2 linked regions of the Danio rerio genome follow. The protein of the gene in region 1 interacts with the protein of each later gene in a biochemical or structural test. Links are inferred from orthologs where the notes say so. Each region holds a gene or a part of one and is shown in the gene's direction. Other genes may lie near its edges.

What was found.
Region 2: of the proteins of wnk1a (region 1) and klhl3, one has a biochemical effect on the other in vitro, tested with the Homo sapiens proteins (2 studies listed by BioGRID). The link is inferred for Danio rerio from reciprocal best matches to the Homo sapiens genes WNK1 and KLHL3.

Annotation. Positions count from the first base shown.
Region 1 is NC_133200.1:22,389,557-22,400,274, reverse strand, and holds part of wnk1a (serine/threonine-protein kinase WNK1), read left to right. Parts: 5' UTR 1-582; intron 583-1,974; 5' UTR 1,975-2,426; coding exon 2,427-3,128; intron 3,129-10,718. UniProt on the Homo sapiens protein: Serine/threonine-protein kinase component of the WNK1-SPAK/OSR1 kinase cascade, which acts as a key regulator of blood pressure and regulatory volume increase by promoting ion influx.
Region 2 is NC_133189.1:28,554,073-28,564,790, forward strand, and holds the start of klhl3 (kelch-like protein 3), read left to right. Parts: upstream 1-765; 5' UTR 766-1,088; coding exon 1,089-1,102; intron 1,103-1,634; coding exon 1,635-1,757; intron 1,758-3,201; coding exon 3,202-3,308; intron 3,309-5,370; coding exon 5,371-5,492; intron 5,493-8,190; coding exon 8,191-8,353; intron 8,354-8,485; coding exon 8,486-8,595; intron 8,596-9,005; coding exon 9,006-9,122; intron 9,123-9,195; coding exon 9,196-9,345; intron 9,346-10,618; exon of another isoform or gene 10,619-10,718. UniProt on the Homo sapiens protein: Substrate-specific adapter of a BCR (BTB-CUL3-RBX1) E3 ubiquitin ligase complex that acts as a regulator of ion transport in the distal nephron.

The DNA of each region.
Region 1 (10,718 bases):
GCATATCGTCTAGATCAGCGCGGGATCTTTCGCTGTCAACAATAGAGGCGCAAAGCTCTCCTGAACGCGCAGCAGCCAAAGCCAAGTTTCATGTCGGCATAACATTAAATGGATATAACGTGTCTTATAGGGTTTTTGGTCATTCCTGTAGGTGTACATATTGCAGCGTCAACTTGAGGTGCAACGTTTGCACGCGCGCCGTCATGCAGTAGATGAGTGCACAAGGAAGATGAATCGAGGTCAGTTGAAAGAGAATAACAAAGAGAACCTGCTCTGCAGTCTCGCGAGCAACCATTAGCGGAAGCGGCTGCTGTTGTGTGTTTGACACTCGAACTTCGCAGTATCGCTCGAGACTGTTGGGACCGGAGGCACAGAAACCGACGTTTAGCCATTATGTTGGGTTTTTAGTGGATGAATATCTCGTCAATCGAGGGTATTTGAGTGGCTCACATGCTTCGCGCGAGGTAAACGTTATTTCAAATACGGAGCACGCGCGTTTGGGGAATTACCGGTTAAACCTGGAGTCAGCCGTTGGTTATTCGCCGATAACTGAAAAGAGTGACGACGACACTTTACATTATGGTAAGTTTTTGTCTTAAATGTCACGATAAACTGGTAAAACTAATCCAGTTTGTGTGTTCACATAAGTCAACCTATGTTTTAGATTATTTATTTGTAACGGCAGTTTTGATACATTTAAAAAAAGCTCTTAAAGGGACAGCTCATCTTAAAAATTTGAATATAAGTTTGGTTTTAATGTTCATTTGTTCAGCATTATGCTGTCTAACTTTAATTCCTTTCCCTATAACGTTATAAGTTTCGAATAATTAGCTTTTCCGGTGTTTTCCACAATTGTCTTTCAAGTTTAAAATGACAAAGTTACCATAAAGGTAACGTAAGTTTAGTCAACATGATTTTAGCGTAATTATTTTTTAGTCTTTTGATAACTTTAGGCAACTGACACTCTAAATAAAAGTTTGACATCCTAAAATCCCAACTAACATTATGGTTTAGGCATTAACGTTACTTGATGAAAAAAGTGTCTAGTGCATTATTCAGTATTTTACCCAATCAACAAGCATATAAATGTTACTTTAAAAAATGTTTACTTATTTTAGTTTATTTTATTCAACTTGTTTTTAATATAAAACGGTAGACAGTTTGTTGTACACATGGCGAATCTAATTTACTAATCCCTCAGCATATGTTCACTGTCCTGAAGATAGATACAGTGCACTCATTAAATTACGTCAAAGATATAAGCAAGCAAGCAAGCAACACATTGCTAGTTATATTCATGTCAAATGAGTTTTGTCAAACGTTAATGAACCATCTTGATGCGAAATGTGTTGACGAAAATTTACCCGAAGTGTAAAGTGATGAAAAAAAAATCAAAGTGTTACTTCCTGCTGTTTTTTTCTGAAGGTTTCAGTATGACAGGTCTATTTGTAAAGTAAAAAATAAATAAATCCTATCTTTTTAGTAGGTGAGAGAAAACTCTTTAATTATAGACTAGTTATTTATTTGCCCCTTTGCTAAACAGCCATTCCCTTATTATGGCCCTGAAATCAGTCTTGTTTTAACTTTCCTGGCTTCTCGATTTGTTAAATCTGTTTTATTTATTACATTAAGTTAGTGCTGTTGAATGATTAATCATGAATAATCACATCCAAAGTTTGTATTTTGTGTATATGTATTATGATATATAAACACACACACACACGTATGTATTTAAAAATAAAGATTTACATGTCATATATGCATGTATGATTTGAATTACTGTACATTTATTTGTATTAATAATCAAATTTTATTGTATAATAGTAATGTTTTACTGTCAAGTTGATTCAAAGGTTTATTTTGGGTTGTTGTGAAGACCATTAAATTTCTGTATGTACATAATATGGTGATCATTTTTCTCACTTTCTAATCTTCTAGCCATTTTTGTAAAACTATATTTTGTATCTTTTTCAGGGAATTGGACGCAAGGGTTAAACTTTTTTCCCCAGCACGACCTTGGGGTCGAAAGTGACCACTACTTTTATCAGCTTTTATTACTTTTACTACCCTGCCCCCTCAGGAGACCCCCTATGTTGATTGAATACACCCCACATTTTTTCAAAGGATGGATGAGCTGAAGTCTCCTTTTAATCACCACAATCATCATCATCATCATCAAAGTATTTTGAACTGTGCATGGATCCTGCGCTACTTTTATCACCAGGGACTTCCTGTGCTTCTCTCCAACACTTTATTTTGCAAAAGTATTGACTTTATCTGAACTGCTGTTTCGAGAGGAGGAAGGATTATCAAGTTTCCACTTGGTTTAAAGCGGCCTCTTCTTGATATCAGATATTTATACTGCCACTTTTTTGCATGGATAGCATATAAGGTTCAACTAACTTCACGCTCCACTTGGTGGAGAAATGTCAGAAAATCTCAACGACAAGATGGTCAAGTTCCTTTCCCCCCCTTCGAAGAACACCAACGGCTCCAGCTCAGACACTCTGGTGGGTGAGCATCTAGGTGTCGATGTCCGTCGTCGCCACCACACCATGGATCGAGAACTGCTGAAGGCAGAGCACCGTTTCTTTCGCCGCAGCGTCATCAACGACTCCAATGCTACAGCGCTTGAGCTGCCCAGCAAGAATGCAATCCTAACCCACTCCACTGACTCCCATGCCCCTGTCTGTGAACCTCCTGCCCTAGAAACCAAAGCCGCTTCAGTGATCACACAATCTGCACCAGAAAAAAAAGTGGCTGATGTTGTTGAGATGGTTATTGAGTCAACACCAGTGTTGATTACAAACGCTGCACTGCATCTTTCTGCAGAAGCACCTAGTTTGGTTTCAGAGGTGAAGTCTGGAGATAGCATTGATGGAAAACGAGAGGTTGAGAAAGAGGAGGATGAAGATAGTAAAGAAAAGGCGGCACGTGCTGAGGCTGAGTTGCGGGATGCTAAGAAGGAGGAGGAAGACAATGAGGAAATTGAGACTAACGCTGTTGGGACATCACCGGATGGCCGCTTCTTGAAGTTTGACATCGAGATAGGACGTGGCTCTTTTAAGACGGTCTACAAGGGACTGGATACGGAAACTACAGTGGAGGTTGCATGGTGTGAGTTACAGGTACGTGTATTTGTAAAGTTATATTAATTTATTTTTCTTTGTTAGAATGCGTTATTGAAACCAACATTTTGAAATGTCGAAAATATGATAAATACCTGAGAGCTCCCTCATCCTCCATAAACAGCAACGGTCGCGATCTCAAATGCCAAGAAAACCAAAAATATTGTCCAACAAAAAAAATTGTCACTTCAGTGGTTTAGTTGTTATTCAGTGGTTTAGAACAAACAGATCAACCACTTTTGATGCTAATAAACAATCATAAAGTCCTCATGCTGCAGGAATTAGGAGTTTTGCTGAAGGTGCAGTTGTTGTGCAGTGTGGGGTTTGCGTCTTTAATAAACTACGATAGTTTGCGTTCACTGAACAGTAAGAATGATTAATAAATCCGTATCAATCAGTCCCTTAAAACTCACGTCTCCAAGTGAACCGCGCTCTTGCACACCTCTTCCAACCGGGCCAAGGCCAGTCAAGTGAACCGTGCCTGAGTCCGATTCAGAGCACTCACACTTTTCAAACAATTCGGAAAACGAGCCTGGGCACGGTTCGGATAGCATAGTGTGAGTAGGCCCTTACATATCAGATCATTAAGGCACTTGTAGTTTTGACAATGGTTCTTTTCTGGACTTCGAATGTCTTGGGATCATTGCTGGCTATGCTGAATAAGAGCTGTCTGGTTTAAAATATCTTAATGTGTTTTCTGAAATTGAACAAAAGTCTCAAGAGATTGGAATAACACGATAGTGAGTTATTAATAACATATATAGTTTAAATTCTGTCTATAAAGATTTATAGGTTGTCATCAAAAATTAGTTACCGCATGCATAAAATGAATGCATTTTTACATTTATGGATCCTGATTGTTGCAATCTGTGGGCAGCACGTCACAGTTTTTGACAGCTAGGATAACAAAGTGCAACACTTGACGTTGTTAACACTCTTGATCTATCCGCTGACGGTGGTAAATCACTATCTGATCTGTTCATCTGGTTCTACAGCAAATACGGTCTCATTCTCATGAACTTACAACCCTGTCTTAAGGTGTTTCCGGTACAGCACCTGGTTATTACAGTCTTATGACTAAGTTTGATTTAAATTTTCAGCGCCCCACCTGGGCCTTTTAAAATGGTGTGTCATCCGCTTGTATTGTTCAGTCTTAATTTAGTTGTGTAATCTTTTTTAGAAGAAGGAAGACACTTTTACTAGTCCTTTTGTCACACCTTTGGCATTTCTCACCTATGAAACGTCTCAACACACACCCTTCACACTTAACCCATATGGCATTTGGCCAGTGTTTTTATAGCTGTTGTCATCTTTGGCTCTAGCCCTTGTATTGTAGTATCATCTCTAAATAGAACCCCCTCAATTCCTAATTAGGCTTTAGACCTCCGGGCAGGTATTTTAAGCTGTGTGATATACACACTAAAACATTGGTGGTGTTTATTTAAAGTTTATTTAAACTTTTAGATAGTCTTATAGCTGTCAAAGCTTGTTACTTTATCAAAGTAAAATATTCTTATAGCATATATTTTTTTATTATTATTTATTTCTCTCCCTTTTATTTATTTGCTACTTATATCTTATTTTGATTTTAAATTAGTAAAAAAAAACAATATAAATATTCATATTCGGGATGCTCCGATTAATCGGCCAGAGATCGTATTTGCCGATAATCACATTTAGTTACTCGATCAGTACTCGCCAATCTGGTCAATCTCATCAAACGTTTAAGTGTAAGCGATTGCAGGTGAGATCTCCACTTAGGGAGATCATACTTAGGAAAAATGTGCTTTATGCATTATAAAGCTTAAAGCATCAGAATCGGTACTCTGCATCGGCCGATCATCATGACAAGGAATTGGTACTTTGTTTCGGGTGCAAAACCCTGATCGGAGCATCCCTGATTAGGCATGGGCCGGTATAAGATTCTGACAGTATGATAGCCTGGGATATCACAGTTTCATGGTATTGTGATTACTGCTCTAAAATATACTCTTTTTAAATGTCAGAACAAAAACTTTTTTCCTCCTTTAACACAATTTATTTTAAGAAACATATCAACTATTTTGGAGCAGTAAACATGTCAGGCTAAATCATTCAAATCAGTCATTGACTTCTGCAGTCTTCATTAGTTTCAAAAACACCTATTTCTTCACAATTTAAAACAACATCTTTGGATATTTTTTTCTTCTGGAGATACTGTTGTCCTAAAAAACAAAAGTAAAAAAGGTAAATAAAAAAATCTTACACATACCTTATGAATGGTATAGCAGATCATTTTGGCGGTTTTCAAACCTTGACTTTTCCTCACCGCAGTATATCTATCTATCTATCCATCTATCCATCTATCCATCCATCCATCCATCCATCCATCCATCCATCCATCCATCCATCCATCCACATAACACGATTGTGAGTTATTAATAAGATATTTAGTTGAAACAACAATTTAATGCAAATTGATTGCTTCACAATGGCTGGCTATATATATATATATATATATATATATATATATGCAAGTATGTGTGTGTGTGTGTGTGTGTGTGTATACATATATACATATATATATATATATATATATATATATATATATATATATATATATATATATATATATATATATATATATATAATTTATAATTACATTTGTTTTGTATTGTATATCTATTTTTAAACTGTAGTTTATTTCTTGTGACAATTCAATTATTACTTGTGACATTCTTAGTTAAAGTATATTGGTAACACTGAGTGTTTTGTTTGTTAGTTAGCTACATTAGTTAATGAGAAAAATACTTTTCATGCACTTATTAATCATACTTGATGTGAACAATAACAATTACAACTTTATACTTTTAAAAATGTATGACAAAATTATTTATTAGAGCTGAGCTGTGTTTATTAACTAATGCTCAAAATATTTTTACATTCTTATTTACAGTCTACAATCATTTAATTGTTCTCTAATTAATAGATTTATTCCAAATGAATTGTAATGGGTGACAAACCGTGAGAAACATGAGCTTTTATACTGCACACTAGAATAATTACACAGTGAATACATCCCTGCAATCTTTTGACTTTTATTAGTTTATGATATGATAAAAGCATGACTAATCTCCACGAGGTTTGCTTAGCAACAGCACCTCCATCGGAAAATCACCAGCTCACTTCTAACAAGCCTTCATGCATTCAGAGGCAACCTCGGTTTTGTTTTTATCATGAAGAAGCAGTTTTGAGAACATATCGAGAGGTGTGATTTGAAAAGTGGGTCAAGTTCAACCACCAAAGCAATGGTAATCTCCTGTGTGAAGTATTTCGAGCTGGTTTGCCACGGCTTGACTCTACAGCTTCTCTCCACCCCCTGCTGCCTATTTTTTTCGCTTCTTTTTTTTTTTTTTTTGTGCAGAGCGATGACGAAGCAGCACCACGTGAGCTGCAATTCTCTTGCTTTGGGCCCTCAGGCGTAGCCAGCTCATACATAGTTGAAACAAAGGCCTCTCTCTCTCTTTAGCTTTCAGTCTCCATTTATATCCTTTTTTCGCATTTCACTGTCCTTGTTTTTATCTCTCAGCTTGTCTTTTTGTGATATGCTGCTATGCGTTCCAAGCTGTGAGTTCACAGTGCTGCAGAAAAAAGGGAAGGGCCTGTATATCTTCCCCGAGAAGGCCATCTGTCCTCGGCGCCTTATGTTAAACTCAGGGATATTCCCCTCCCACATTTGTCTCCTTTTCTTTTTTCACATGCTAAACACATTTGAACAATATGTAGGTCACCACAAATAGAAAAGGAAAATAGCTCTCAGATGCTTCTTTTTTACTGAAGTTTCTGTATATGTCCAAGTGAATATACCACATTAAATGCTATGTCTAAACTAGCCAGAGAATTGAGTCATGGTTGCGATTGCATACCACTGACTTTCCAGCAACTGTTAAGTTTTACCCCAGTTGTCCTGCATTTGGCTTTCGCCCTGCTTTTGATCCCTTTAACAGACCCGTGTAAATCCATTTAGCCTTCTGTTCTAACTTTGAACTATTAAAAGGTTTCTATGGCCCTTTGACAGCATTTATAATGGCTACTTTTTGTTTTAATGTGCTGAATATTTTGTTTAAAAATCTATTAAAGTAATACTATATATTATAGGGATGCTCTGATCAGCATTTTTGCAGCCAATACCAAGTAACGATTCCTTATCATGCTGATCAGCCGATACAGAGTACCAAGAGTACTAATGCTTCAAGCTTTAAAATGCATAAAGCACATTTTCCTCTAAATATACTTGAGTGGAAATGTCTCCTTACCTAAGAGAATAAATAAAGGATCTTGCAAATAATCCTGATTTTAAACATTTTACTTATAACCATTTAGTGTGGACATGTCATATGCAGAAATTAATAGATAAAACTGATTAAAAAATAGTATAAAAATGACTAATAATGCAATTTAAGAAACACTGTAAATGATGGAAGAATTCAACATGTCTCAATCACGAAAAGGTTTAGAGCCCATATTTGATGCATAAGAAGTTAAAATGCACACCTATAAATACATATTTGTTTATTGCGACAAGTACATTACAAAAAGGCATATTATTAAATATTCAAGTTAAAAAAGTTTTTTTTTCCCATTAAAAATCGATTCATGAGATAAGCCAGATTTGCAAGTACTGTTTGAGTCAAAAAATGTAATCAGCAGATACCGATCTCCGGCCAATCGATCAGAGCATCTCTACATGTGATCTCATATCCTGTTTATAGATCACAATACAGTGCCATTTCAGTGATTTAACCAAATAATAGTTTATACATTTTATATATATATATATATATATATATATATATATATATATATATATACATATACATATACATATATATATACACACACACACACACACACACACAAACACACACATATATATATATATTTATATATATATATATATATATATATATATATATATATATATATATTTATATTTATATTTATTTATATATATATATATATATATATATATATATATATATATATATATATATATACATATATATATATATACACACACACACACACACACACACACACATATATATATATATATACACACATACGCGCACACACAGTTGAAGTCAGAATTATTAGCCCTCCTGAATTATTAGACAGCTTGTTTATTTTCCCCCAATTTCTGTTTAATGGAGAGCAGATTTTTCCAACACATTTTCCAATCATAATAGTTTTAATAACTCATTTCTAATAATTGATTTATTTTATATTTGCCATGATGACAGTAAATAATATTTGACTAGGTATTTTTCAAGACACTTCTATACAGCTTAAAGTGACATTTAAAGGCTTAATTAGGTTAACTAGGCAAGTTAGGGTAATTTGGCAAGTTATTGTATAACGATGGTTTGTTCATGAGATTATTGAGAAAAAATTAAGTTTAAAGGGGCTAATAATTTTGTCCCTAAAATGGTTTAAAAAAAATTAAAAACAGCTTTTATTTTAGCCAAAATAAAACAAATATTACTTTTTCCAGGAGAAAAAATACTATCAGACATACTGTGAAAATTTCCTTTCTCTGTTAATCATTTGGAAAATATTTTAAAAAGAAGAAAAAAATTTGAAGGGGGCTAATAAAGTTTAAAGCTGTTCATGTTTCTGTTTGCATCCCCATAATGGCGTGTAATATTGTACTCGTATAAATTATGAAAATAAATTATTACCTCTAACAGTGTATTTTATGGCACCACAAAATAAACAATAGAGCATTATTTGAAAAGATAGACTTTTTATTTTGTCCATATGATGTATATTATCATATTGCATTGCCCTATTTACAGTCTCTTAAAGTTCTGGTTACTAAAAGTTAAAAAGCTCTTTTTTTATTTATAAATACAGTCATACATTTACAATGTATGTACTCTATTATTTAAAAGTTAGGGGGTCAGTAAGGGATTTGTCTAATTTATAAAGAATACACTAAATTGATCAAAAGTGGAATTTTGTTTGGAACAATGTAAAAGTCTTTACTATTGCAAATAAATGATGTTATTTATTTTTCATTTTTCAAATATTTAAGAAAGCACATAGATAGATTTTTAGCAAAAGTAAATTTTTTCGACCAGGATTTTTTGAGAGATTTTTTTTTCTTTTCTTTTTTTTTATTTCTGGCATCATTTATGATATATTTTATTAAAAACCTTTCTAATCTTTATTTGAAGCAATAATGAGATGAGTTTAAAGTAAAAATGTTTATTAAAATACTTTTTTGTCTGTTAGGTGTTTACTTTTGCTTAATTTTTAATTTTTATTTTTTGTAGTGTTTTAGATACCTCCTTAGAAATATCATTATAGTCATTTAATATAGGAAATAAGCACATGCAGCTCCTAATAGAATTGTTCACAAAGCATGTGATTCCAGGAATATCAATCCTTGTGCTGTTCCTTGTAATCATCAATTGCTACACACAATCCCAGCCAACTGAAATGCATAGTTTTTAAGTATTTCTTAATATTTCCAGGTAATTTCTTTCAAATCCTCTCCTTAATCCTAATTCCTTATCTCCCGCCTGAAGTGGTATGTGCCCTCACACGTGAGTCGGATTCATGCCAGGAGCTTAATCCTCATACTGGAGCTCAGCATGCGGGCCATCTCTCCTCTGGAGAAAGACGCTCCCACGCTTCACTTGCCGGGTCCCACAGGCCACAGAGTGCACTGCATATTTGGAATAGTCAGAGGAAGGGAGAAAAAGTAGGTCTGCTGTAGGGTGGGGTGCAATGCGAGTCCCCCTTCCTCTAACTCGCATCAATTGCCACTATAATGGCTTTATGTTAAGCATTACCCTACTAAAGACATTATGCTAAACACCTCTAATTGTGTTAGTTATGCACATTTAAGCGGTTAGGGAACTTTGAACCCTAACTTGGGGCAAACAGCCGTCCCCACAGGGCTTGGCAAAGGCAAACTCGCAGCTAAATGTTTCTCATTCCAGAGATGGCAGCTGACCGCACCAAATGTAGGTCAACTTGGAATCGGCAATTGAACTGAGTGCATTGTTTGACACACAGAGCAGTTTTGTGTATTTGCTAGATTGGGATTGATCCAAGTACTTTGCAATTTTATTGTACATGACAATATTAATGCCGCACCATCTACTTTGATAGCAAATTATTACTATTTTTTGCAGTTATTTCCTCTGCTGTGAAACCACAGTTCAACACAGAAAAGTCAGAGGTGTTGAATGTGCTTAAAGGGATAGTTGACCCAAAAATGAGCATTTCCTCTTATACTCACACTCAAGTCATTCTTAACATTTCAGTTCCTTTCTTTTGTAAAACGTGAAACAAGATCTTCAGAAAAATGCTGACAAAAAGCAGCGATTTATAATAAACAAAAATACAGTGGAAGTCAATGGCTGTATTTTTCAACATTCTTCAGTTTATCTTTGTGTTCAGCTGAAGAAAGAAACTCAAACCGGTTTGGAAGGATGAGTAAATTATGACAATTTACATTTTTGAATGAACTATCTCTTTAAAGTGATAGTTAACCTAAAAATGTCAATTTGCTGTTTAATGTACTTGTCCTCAGTAAAG
Region 2 (10,718 bases), on another chromosome or scaffold:
TAATTATTTACCCAAAATTCCATCATGTTTTTATAATTAAAAACAGATTTTCTAAGTTGTTGTATTCTTTTTGAATTACCCTGTATATTTTATTCCAGACTAAAACTTAAAGAACTTGAAACATGTGAACATTCTGAATCATTAAACGCTGACAATGAAAAGATTGCATTGTACATTTAAGTGATTTATTTGCTTTTGCGAAATCATAATCTATTCAGACTTACTTGGATTTGTGAAACATAACAAAATATGGTCTTGTGGGGATTCTTTCTAAGATTTAGATTTTTCTTAACTTGTGGGAGAAATTGCATTCAGAAAACAAGACCCCCCCCCCCCCCCCCTAATTTTTTTGTCTTGTATAAATTGGTTATGCTCTTCCCTGATATTTTTTTTGTTTTACAGACCAACGGTGATGGCAGTGATGCTGTTCTCTGTCTCTGGGAGATGGCTTCAAATGGATCTTTTGACTGTAGCGGGATCGGAAGGGAAGTTGTTAAAGGCGGCTGAATCTTTTGCACTTGTGCTTATGGACAAGAATGAACATTTAAATGAATGTTTGATGTGATTTCAATAAAATAAATTGATCTTTTTTGAGTCTTTTGATTCTTTTACATTAGTTATGTCATTTTGATTTGAAATCATCTGAGCAATAAGGATGGTGTTTTAACTTTAGCTTTAACCCGTATAAGTATGAATTATTTTTTTTAATATAGCTGGTAAGGGCTAGAGTAGCAGGTTAGTGCAGTGATGTGGCAGTGCCATGAGTGACCTTGGTGATCATGGAGCGATGGTATCACTGTTGCCAGGCAACCCTCTGATGATGGAGGACCGCTACGACGGTCCTGGGTGTAAAGTCAGTGAGGCAGCGATAGCTATGAGCTGCTAACCAGTCAGATAAACAACCGCGGCCATCTCACGAGAGACAAGGCTCAGCACGAGGAATACTTATGAAGACATACATTACTCGACTTAAAGCTTTAAAATACCACGCACGTCTATAAAGGGAATGAATGAGTTACACATCCTACACGGAAAAATGATGTAGCAAGCTAACTTTAGCCAGCTGCCTAGCGCGATATTGCTCAAACATGGACTATGACGGGTAAGTGTGTGATTATAAAAAAGAGAAATGCAGATAACTTGTAACAAATATGTCTGCAGAAGAGAAAGTAATATATTAAATTCTAATTTGAAACTAACAGAATAACGCCTTGTGATCCTGTAGTACAATTTGTAGCAGCTAAATTGCTAGCGGAGGGTTGTGTATCCACTCCTGGGAATTCATTTTAAAATGACACTTAATATTTAAGGGTTTTTATACAAATTCGTCTATGTAACGTGAAATGATACTGTTCTAGACTAGCTTGTCCATAGTTCACGAGATAATCAAAATATTATCATAATCGTTCAGTAACTTGATTCCATATGCAGTGATGTGGTCTAAAACTGACTCTTGTCATCCCGTAATAACATTGTTGTTGAACAACTGTGCAATGAAGTTGTCATTGGAAACTATTAAACGTTAATTTAGGTGGTCCTTAGATCGAGAGATTCGTTTTTTGTTGTTGTTTAATTGGTGTAACATTATGCTATTTAGCATTAGTTGATTAGGTCTGTTTTGATTCGTTGACTAGATTTGGAGTCCCTTGTCCTGTGCCTAGTTTGGACTCTCAGGACGATGCCAAAGATCCAGGGCTGCACACCTTCAGTCACACACACATGAGGAAAGCCTTTCTGCTCATGAATGACTTGAGAAGGTTAGTAAAGTGATATAACTTGTTATTCAACCCTTTGTTTTTCATGGTGTTCAGGGAGGCAGACATCGATAGGGGCATTTCCAGGTTAGCTGCCTTGGAGTGGATTTGTACCATATTCAATTTGATCCTTCACAAAAATGTTCTGGTTGATGTGAAGTTTTATTTTCCTATCAAATGTAATTGTTAAGACCCAATACGTTCAGTGCATCAATAGTTTATATACCATAATATCCATATTTATTCATGCAACACTCACTCACTATCCTTCAGTGTAGTCTCTGATTTATCAGGGTCACCACAGTGGAATGAACCATTAATTAATCTGGCACTCATGCATTCTCATTCACACACTACTGCTAATTTCATTTATCCAATTCACCTATACTGCATGTCTTTGGAATGTGGGGGAATCCCTTGTCATTTTAGTAAGTGTAGTTTTTCTTAAATGCATCTTTTCATTGTACATACATGTAAAACCCATAGATTGTCATATATTTACACCAAAATGGGACAAAATTATATGTTTGTTCAACTTTATTTGCATGCGTACAGTATAGTCATGTAGGGCAGTATGTATTATGTAGCCTATCTCAACTGCTTCATTGTAGTTGCAAAATGTAAACTTTAAGATTGGTGAGGTCTGCTATTGGGCTGAGCGATTATTTAAAAAGTAATCACATTCAGAACCTATAATCGATCAAAATTTTCCAGGTCAATTTTTTTCAATTACTTTCCCTGCTGTGTGTGGAGTCATGTGATCTCGCTCTGTTAAGACAGATTTATACTTTTGCATCGAACGCACGGGCATGGTCCGGCGCAGCCTTCACGAGCTCGCATACCTGCGCACCTCTCAAAATACGTAACTACACGTTGCACTTTTGCACTACATTGATGATGATTGGAGGCTGCGCCAGAGATGCCTTGAGACCCCTTTTATGACGTTCAATAAATGATCATAGATAGTAGATAGTTTGTGTTTCCCTCAATTATTTTAAAGTCAAGTAATGCACCCTTTATTCAAATAAATATAAGAACACAATTAATATGCAAAGAGTTAAAAAATTTAAATAAATAAAATAATCGTTCATAAATCGTAATCAGGGTAAAATGTTCAGTTAATTGAGATTTTGATTTTAAGCCAAATCGCCCAACCCTAGTCTGCTATGTCATGAACATATTGGCTTATAATGTATTTTTGGTAATAATTCTTTAGGTTTAGAACAATGCAATAAATCTGACTTGACTTGAAGTTAATTATAAGTTGTGTTGGTGTAGGCTGCTTGTCCACAAGGTATTTCTGGTTTATATTACCTCAATTCTATGTAAGATCACGGAAACCACTGCCGCCAATGGTTTATAAAATCTAAGTAGGTTTTTATTACTTTTGGAAAAAAGCAGTCTTGATCTAACCCCTAAATTTTCTTTCATTTCTTTATAACCACAGTCGGAAGATGCTCTGTGATGTTTTGTTGGTGGCAGGCGAAGTGGAAATCCCAGCACACAGAGTAGTTTTAGCATCCTGCAGCCCTTACTTCTGCGCCATGTTCACAGGTATTCTTTATTTACATGTTCTAATGCTACTCTTACAGTGATGAGACATGTCCAACACTGCCCTTTAATTATCTTCAAAATTGCTATTGGGGATTTATGTCTCATTTTGTGTCAAACACGATTTGCTCTTTTTAATGATCTTCTTTTATATGCTATATAAAACCTAAAGTCATACAGGATTGGAGGAATATGAGAGGGAATAAATCATGATAAAACCTTCACTTGTAGGTGAACTATCGTTTTATAGATGGATTGAATTGTTAGCAAACTACTTCATGAGTCATGTTGATTGCATAAAAATGTTATGATGTACATTTCTTTACATTTAGGTCTCATTTTTAACTGTGTACATGGTAATAAGATGTTTTTTGTTGTTTTTGTCTCAATCACAAGTGGATAAGGCTCAATATCAGGGATCTGAAATGTTTTGAACTGGCTATTCTGGTCCTTTTCCAGAGGTAGTCGAAAACGCTTTTGACCAGATTGCTTTTGTAATGAGATGTTCATGTGGTCGAGTGGTTCAACAGCCAGAAAAAGGCCACCTGTTCACTGCCAACTGGCCTAATAATCATTATGGGACACCATGTTGAAGTGGGATAACAAGATGGGATTTAAATTTTTGCTGTCTGAAATCGTACATTTGGTTTGAAAGTGAAAAAATAAAATAAGCACAGTGTTCGGTTGAAGTAGTTTGATGAATTTTTGTGGTTAATAGAGCATTAACGACAAGCTCCTGCTGTCCACATCTTTTTTTTTTTTTGCCTATTTTAACATTATTTGTATACAAATTTCACAGTTCCAGAAATTTCTGAAAAAATTATACACACAGTCGAAGACAAAATGATTAGCACTCCTGTGATAATGTCACTAAACCACCGTTGTTCAATAACTTACCTAGTAAACTAAGTTACCTAATTAAATCTTTATATTGCACTTTAATTAACTGCCCCACCAAGAAATACATTTTTGGATTGGATTTCTTAACTCCTAATGTTGCTAGTTAACACATTCAATGCATTTTTTTTTCAACACATCACATAATTTCTAAAATATCAACCTCCACCAAATAGTAAATATGTCGGTTTATAATACAAAATCAGAAAATTGGGTGTAAGACCAATTTATTACAAACCTAATCAAAATAAAACATTTTTGAATCATCTATATTTTTTGAAGTATGCAATAAAATATTTCAGATTCTTATTTAACATGTTTTCTTGTTTGTTTGTTTTTTTACAACATTCTTTAAAATACTTTAACAGTCTTTATTTAAAACAGTAGAACAGTAGAAATATGGTCAACCATTTGGTAGAGCAGAATACTTGTATCTTGCAAAATAACTAGAAAAATATTATGCACTATTATCATGGCAAAAACAAAAGAAACAGTTGGCCATTAACACTCATACAATGACCAACAATCCATCTCAATAAAACGTTTAACTTTTTATTTAAAAATAGCATTTCTTTACTTTTCCTACAGTAACATTTGCTTAAAAGTTCTACTTTTTTTACTGAGGATACTGAGCTGACCTATAGTTTTTATTATTAAATTATTATTAATGTTATATTAATAATGTAATATTAATGTTTTATTCTATTGTTGGTACGGGATATAGGGTTTGTGAATGGATATATTTGAAAATGAATAAAAAATATTCTACAAATGTATAATTATTGTATTATTAAATGTATTAATTTGTAATTATTTTTTGATTGGCCAAGTAAAAATCTTTTCTAACTGGGAAATTTAAAAAAACTTAGCATTTAGCCCTGCATAAGTCTTAAGTTTAATTCATAATGGTCTTAAAATAGTTTAAATCTAACTTGGTGAAACCTGCAGAAATCATGTAAAATGAGAAAGTTTTAAAATGTGTTGGAAAAAAATGTGAAATATTACTTGATAAATATAAAAAATAATAAATCTTCCCAGGAGGAATAATACATTTGACTACAATTGTAACCTGATCACAGGCCTTTTCTTCAAAGAAATCTGTATCAGTGTGCATCTTAATACCAGTTGTAAACAAAGCCTAATTCTGCATTGTGTTTATTGTATCCAGGTGACATGAGTGAAAGCAAAGCTAATCATGTCGAAATCAGGGATGTTGACGGACAGACGCTCTTGAAGCTGGTGGATTATATTTACTCTGCTGAGATAGAAGTGTCTGAAGAAAACGTTCAGGTAAGACAACACTAACATATACATTGTAATGTTTCAAACATTAAAAGTGACTAGCTGTTTGTATAAAAGCTGATTGCACTTTTTGCTTTTGGAGCTTTCGTGAAGGGTATTTCCTCTCATTTTTAGCAAAGGAAATGAGCAGAGAGGCAGAGGAAGTTTTCTGCGATTTGCTCTTTGCCCTTTGTGTTGGAGCTCTATTGTCCCTGTGTGCTCTGTTGCTTGCGTGTGGGCCTTATTTTGTGTAGAAGAAGAGAACAGATGATCTTAGAAGCTTCGTGCCATTTGTTCAAGAATAGCATGAAGTGGCCTAGTTTTCATCTGGAGAGCATGGGCAGATGCTTCAGTGGGGGGTAGTGGCTGTTTATGACTTAGTTGGTCATTGGGGATTTTTACTATGTCATTCAGTGCTGTGATACGCCCTGTGTTGTATATCCCTTTAGGCCATTTTCTTTCTTTTACTAGAAAGAACATGGACACAGGCAACACAAGATGGTCAAGAGCAGATGCTTTTATCTAATTTAGTGTCGTTTTTCCCTGTGGCCTTTACTTGTATGTTAAGTAGCTGCTGCTGCCTTCATTTCATTGATACCTCTAATTATTATCACAGTTCATTTAGTATATCAGTTGGCACTAGGTTTGAAACACATGTGTAATGGTTTGCTAATAACTAAAATGTATTTATTAACCGTTTACTTGAAGTATAACTGATGTTATGTGTATTATTGTAATTACAATAATAGCCATTGGTATTTCTGTCTATATTAATATAGACCTTACCATGCAAAGCCTGGGAAATTCTGAGAAGTTTGTTTTGTTTTATTAAAAATAAATAAATGTGTACTTAGATTAGGTTGAAGATGAATTAAATGAATCAAATTCAATTTCAAATTTTAATGTCATATAAATGCTGTTCTTTTAAAAACAGTTTTGGCAAAAATGATGAACTGGTTACACGTAGATAACAGGGCTGCACGATAATGGGAAAATTTGAAATTTGAAAGTGTTTTTTTCCCTGCAATATACACTGTAAAAATGCAGGATTCCACACAAGTCATTCACCACAAATCGATTAAGTTAACCTAGCACTTTTAGCAAATTTATGTAGATTAAACATAAAAAATTCAAGTTGTTCCAATGAAATCTCAAGAATTGTTTTGTTTCAGCTTATTTTAAATAAGTATGTTGAACAAGCAAAAATTATAAATATTTTATATTTTTTAATTTTTTTATATTTACAATTAGCTCTATTTGCAAAGTCATTACTTAAGATTGACTGCACTCAAAAGAATTATTTTGCTGCTTCTTCAAATAAACTTTTTTAATGGGCTAAAACAACACAATTCTTGAGATTATATTTGTTTTATGTCAAATTAATTTGAATTTGTTAAGTAAACTTAATCGATTTGCCTTGAGACCACATGAATGTATTGTGTGCACTACTGTATTGTTTTACAGCATGAGGTGATTTTGTTGGGGAGTGAAATATAAATGTATATATTTATGCAATTTATTATATATGTATAATAAACAAACTACAGTCATAAACACGATAGAACACATATTAAAGTGAAATAAACCAAGCATTCTGGAGAGAGTAACAGTATACACGTTCAAAAATTAAACAATCAAATGTAAAAAATTTCTACATAGTCTTCATCATATAAATAATAAAACTTTTATGCACTACTAAAATGCTTTAAACTCATTAAAAATGCTCACATAGTCACTGGCCTTAAAAACATATGCAGATGATAAACCTTCACTCTATTATTAGTGTTAAATTCTACAGTGTCTCCATTAATCTCCTGTGTTTTTTTTTTTTTGTTGTCAACTGTAATCCCAACTCAACATTGCAAATGTTGCTACGTGACTATTGCAGATGCACATATTGCAATATCTAAACTCAAACAATATATTGTGCAGCCCTACTAGATAATATAAAAATAGTCAGTAATTAACTATCATAAAATTACTTCTGAAGATCATGTTATGTTCTGCTGTGAAAACTGGAGTAATATCTGCTGAAACATCAGCTTTGGATCACAGAAAAAAAAAACATTTTAAAACAATTATTTGAAATTAAACTGATATATTTTTTAAAATGATAGTAATATCACAACATATTTATTTACCAATTTAATGCAGTCTTCTTGAGGATAAAATACTTATTTCAGAAATGATTTCAGTTCTGTATGTCTGTGCATCAATGTAACGCACAACTCTTTTGCATTTAAGGCTAGTCATCATTTCATAACTTATTGTGTTATCAGTAGGGCCACATGGTATTTGCGGACATTTTTGGCAATTTCCATGGAGATTTTGTAAAAAATCTGCAGATTTATGCGGAATTATTTTGGGAGCTCATATTATCATAATAAGTAAAAACGTAATATATGATGAAATAAAAAAGTATAGCTTTTTAACTTTTATTTAATTTTACAATGCAAATCCAATTAGATCCACTTATTTGGTAAACAAAGCAGGTCTCTCATATAATATATTAATATATCTACCAAAAGACCATATACTGTATTTTAAATAAATCAAATGAACATTTTATATAAGTCAATAATATTTCTGAAATTAATTTAAAAACTGAATGTATATGAATGTACACACATTATACCAATGTATAGTATGTGTGATGTCTTTTTTTATAGTTTAGTATTTGTGATGTGTTTATCCCTGCTGTGTTCAGGTGTTGCTGCCAGCTGCCAGTCTGCTGCAGTTGATGGATGTTCGACAGGTTTGCTGTGACTTCCTGCAGACACAGCTTCATCCCACCAACTGCTTGGGCATCCGAGCATTCGCTGACCTTCACGCCTGCACAGTACTTCTCAGCCAGGCCCACGCTTATGCCGGTGAGCTCTCATCTTTTTTCATGCATTGTGGGAAGTTTGGAACAGCTTGGCGATTAAGCAACCCACCGATATGTCTTTTTATGTTGACGTACAGTTTAGTTTTTTTGAGTATGTTTTGCTTGATTAAAGCAGAGCAGCACTTCACAGACGTCATGGTTGGCGAGGAGTTTATGGCCCTGTCCTTACAGCAGGTGTGCAGTCTGATCTCTAGTGACAAACTGACTGTGTCAACTGAAGAGAAGGTAACACACAAAAACCCAAGTGTTTTGACTCAGATGTTATCTTTTAATACATTTACATCTGCATATTGTGCTTCTCAATCACAGACAGTTTTTTTTAACATATTCTTGCACGATTTGTACTCAGCAAACGATTGATAGTTGGGTTTTACATGTACATGCTGGTGCAGTGCTGAAGGAGATGACAAGCCATCTGTCAGTCACACTGCATTAGCTGCTCTCTGCTTACGAGTAACTTGTGTCTCCAGTCTGCACACGCACACACATACACACACTTGATGGCAGCTGTCAGATGTTTCAGTGTCATCTGAGCAGTGGCACAGACAGAGGAGGGTGGCAGCCTGACCTGCTGTGGCTGTGGGCTGCACTCATACATTATGCAGAGAAAAACATAATATCTGTTCCACCGCCAGGTTTTTGAGGCCATGGTTGCCTGGATAAAGCACGATAAAGAGGCCCGTTTAGAGCACATGCCAAAACTCATGGAGCATGTTCGACTTCCCTTACTGTCCAGAGATTACTTGGTTCAGGTATGATCCAAGCATTATTCGTGCATAATTTCTTCAAGCATTATTTTTAGTACATGATTGTGCATTTGTACAGATTGTGGAGGAGGAACCTTTAATAAAAAACAACAATACTTGTAAGGACTTTCTCATTGAGGCGATGAAGTACCACCTTTTACCTGCAGACCAGCGGCACCTTATAAAGACTGACAGAACAAGACCACGCACACCAATCAGCCTGCCCAAGGTAATAATATACTGAGCACAAAAATCTAATAATAACTGATTTTATTTTTAACGATGAAAAGCTCTTGCTGAAAAAGTAATTTATTGGTTTAATTTAATCGTTTAAAAAGGAGAGTGACTAAGTGTAAAGATATGTAACGTAACAGATGATTGCTATATTCAGAGCTGTACATCAACCTATCCTTGTTTTAAATACGCTACCTGACAAAAGTCTTGTCACCTATCCAATTTTAGGAACAACAAATAATAACTCAGGGCTCGAAATTGCAACCATTTTGGTCGCATATGCGCCCGAAATTTTATCTGTGCGACCTTAAAATATATTTGGGAGCATTTTTGCGAGTGCTTAAAATTGTTGTGTGCGACCAGTTTTTACTGCAAAATGTTCACCACTTTCGCGGATTCGGGAGACATTCACGCAGAATGCATCTCTAAGCTCTTTGTTTACACTTGAAACGCGAAACGCAGTTCTCAGGAATGGTTTAAAACAGTTGTCATGTCAACTTGCTGCAGTAAACAAATCCAAGTCCGTAATGCTTGCCCCGCCTTCGCACTCTTCTTATTGGCCCACCACTGCTCTAGCACTGAACGCGAATGATTGGTTAATATAAGCTGTCAATCACTCAGCGCCTTCTGGCTTTGGATGACAGAGAGCTACTACCGCGAAAAATTGTAAAGCGCTGAAGATGAGAATGAAGATAGCATAACACTGACAGATTTTATTTGAGAAACCATGGCATCTACAGTTACAAATAATGACACATCTTACTAGTGATCATGTGCTGAATGTTAATCCACCATCTACACTTTTCTAAGAGTAGAAGACTTCTATTGGCTTCAAGTCCGCTATGAAAATTCTGTGGGATGGAATTTTCAGGTAACTGTTTGGCACATCTAGCACGAGAGCTTCTGTTTAATCCTTCATATAATCACCAGATGCTGTGCGCTGTGCACGTGGCAGCTATATGTCAAATTTAACACCACGTACACCATAGCAAACGGGCTTACACTGAGTAAACTAACATTGCTACTCCTAAAAAGACCGGTATTGCTATTAACATGTATGCATATAATAGGGTACAGTATATGTCAAAAGCATCAGTGCAATATCCGACAGCACTTGTGAGAACAGCACAGTTATACGGTTAACAGATTAATTCAAGCAGTGCGTGCAGGGCAGGTGAGCGCTCAGTGTATGCTTTGGTCACTCAGTTCTGTTATAAAAATTTATTTTCTTGTGATAACGGGATTTTGTTGAGACATATTTTCCTCACGCTTGCATATAACGTTATACATGATTTTTTTGCTTGTTAGTTTGATTAGTGTTGATTTCAAATACAATAAATATTTTTGTATAAAACTTGTAGTAACGGT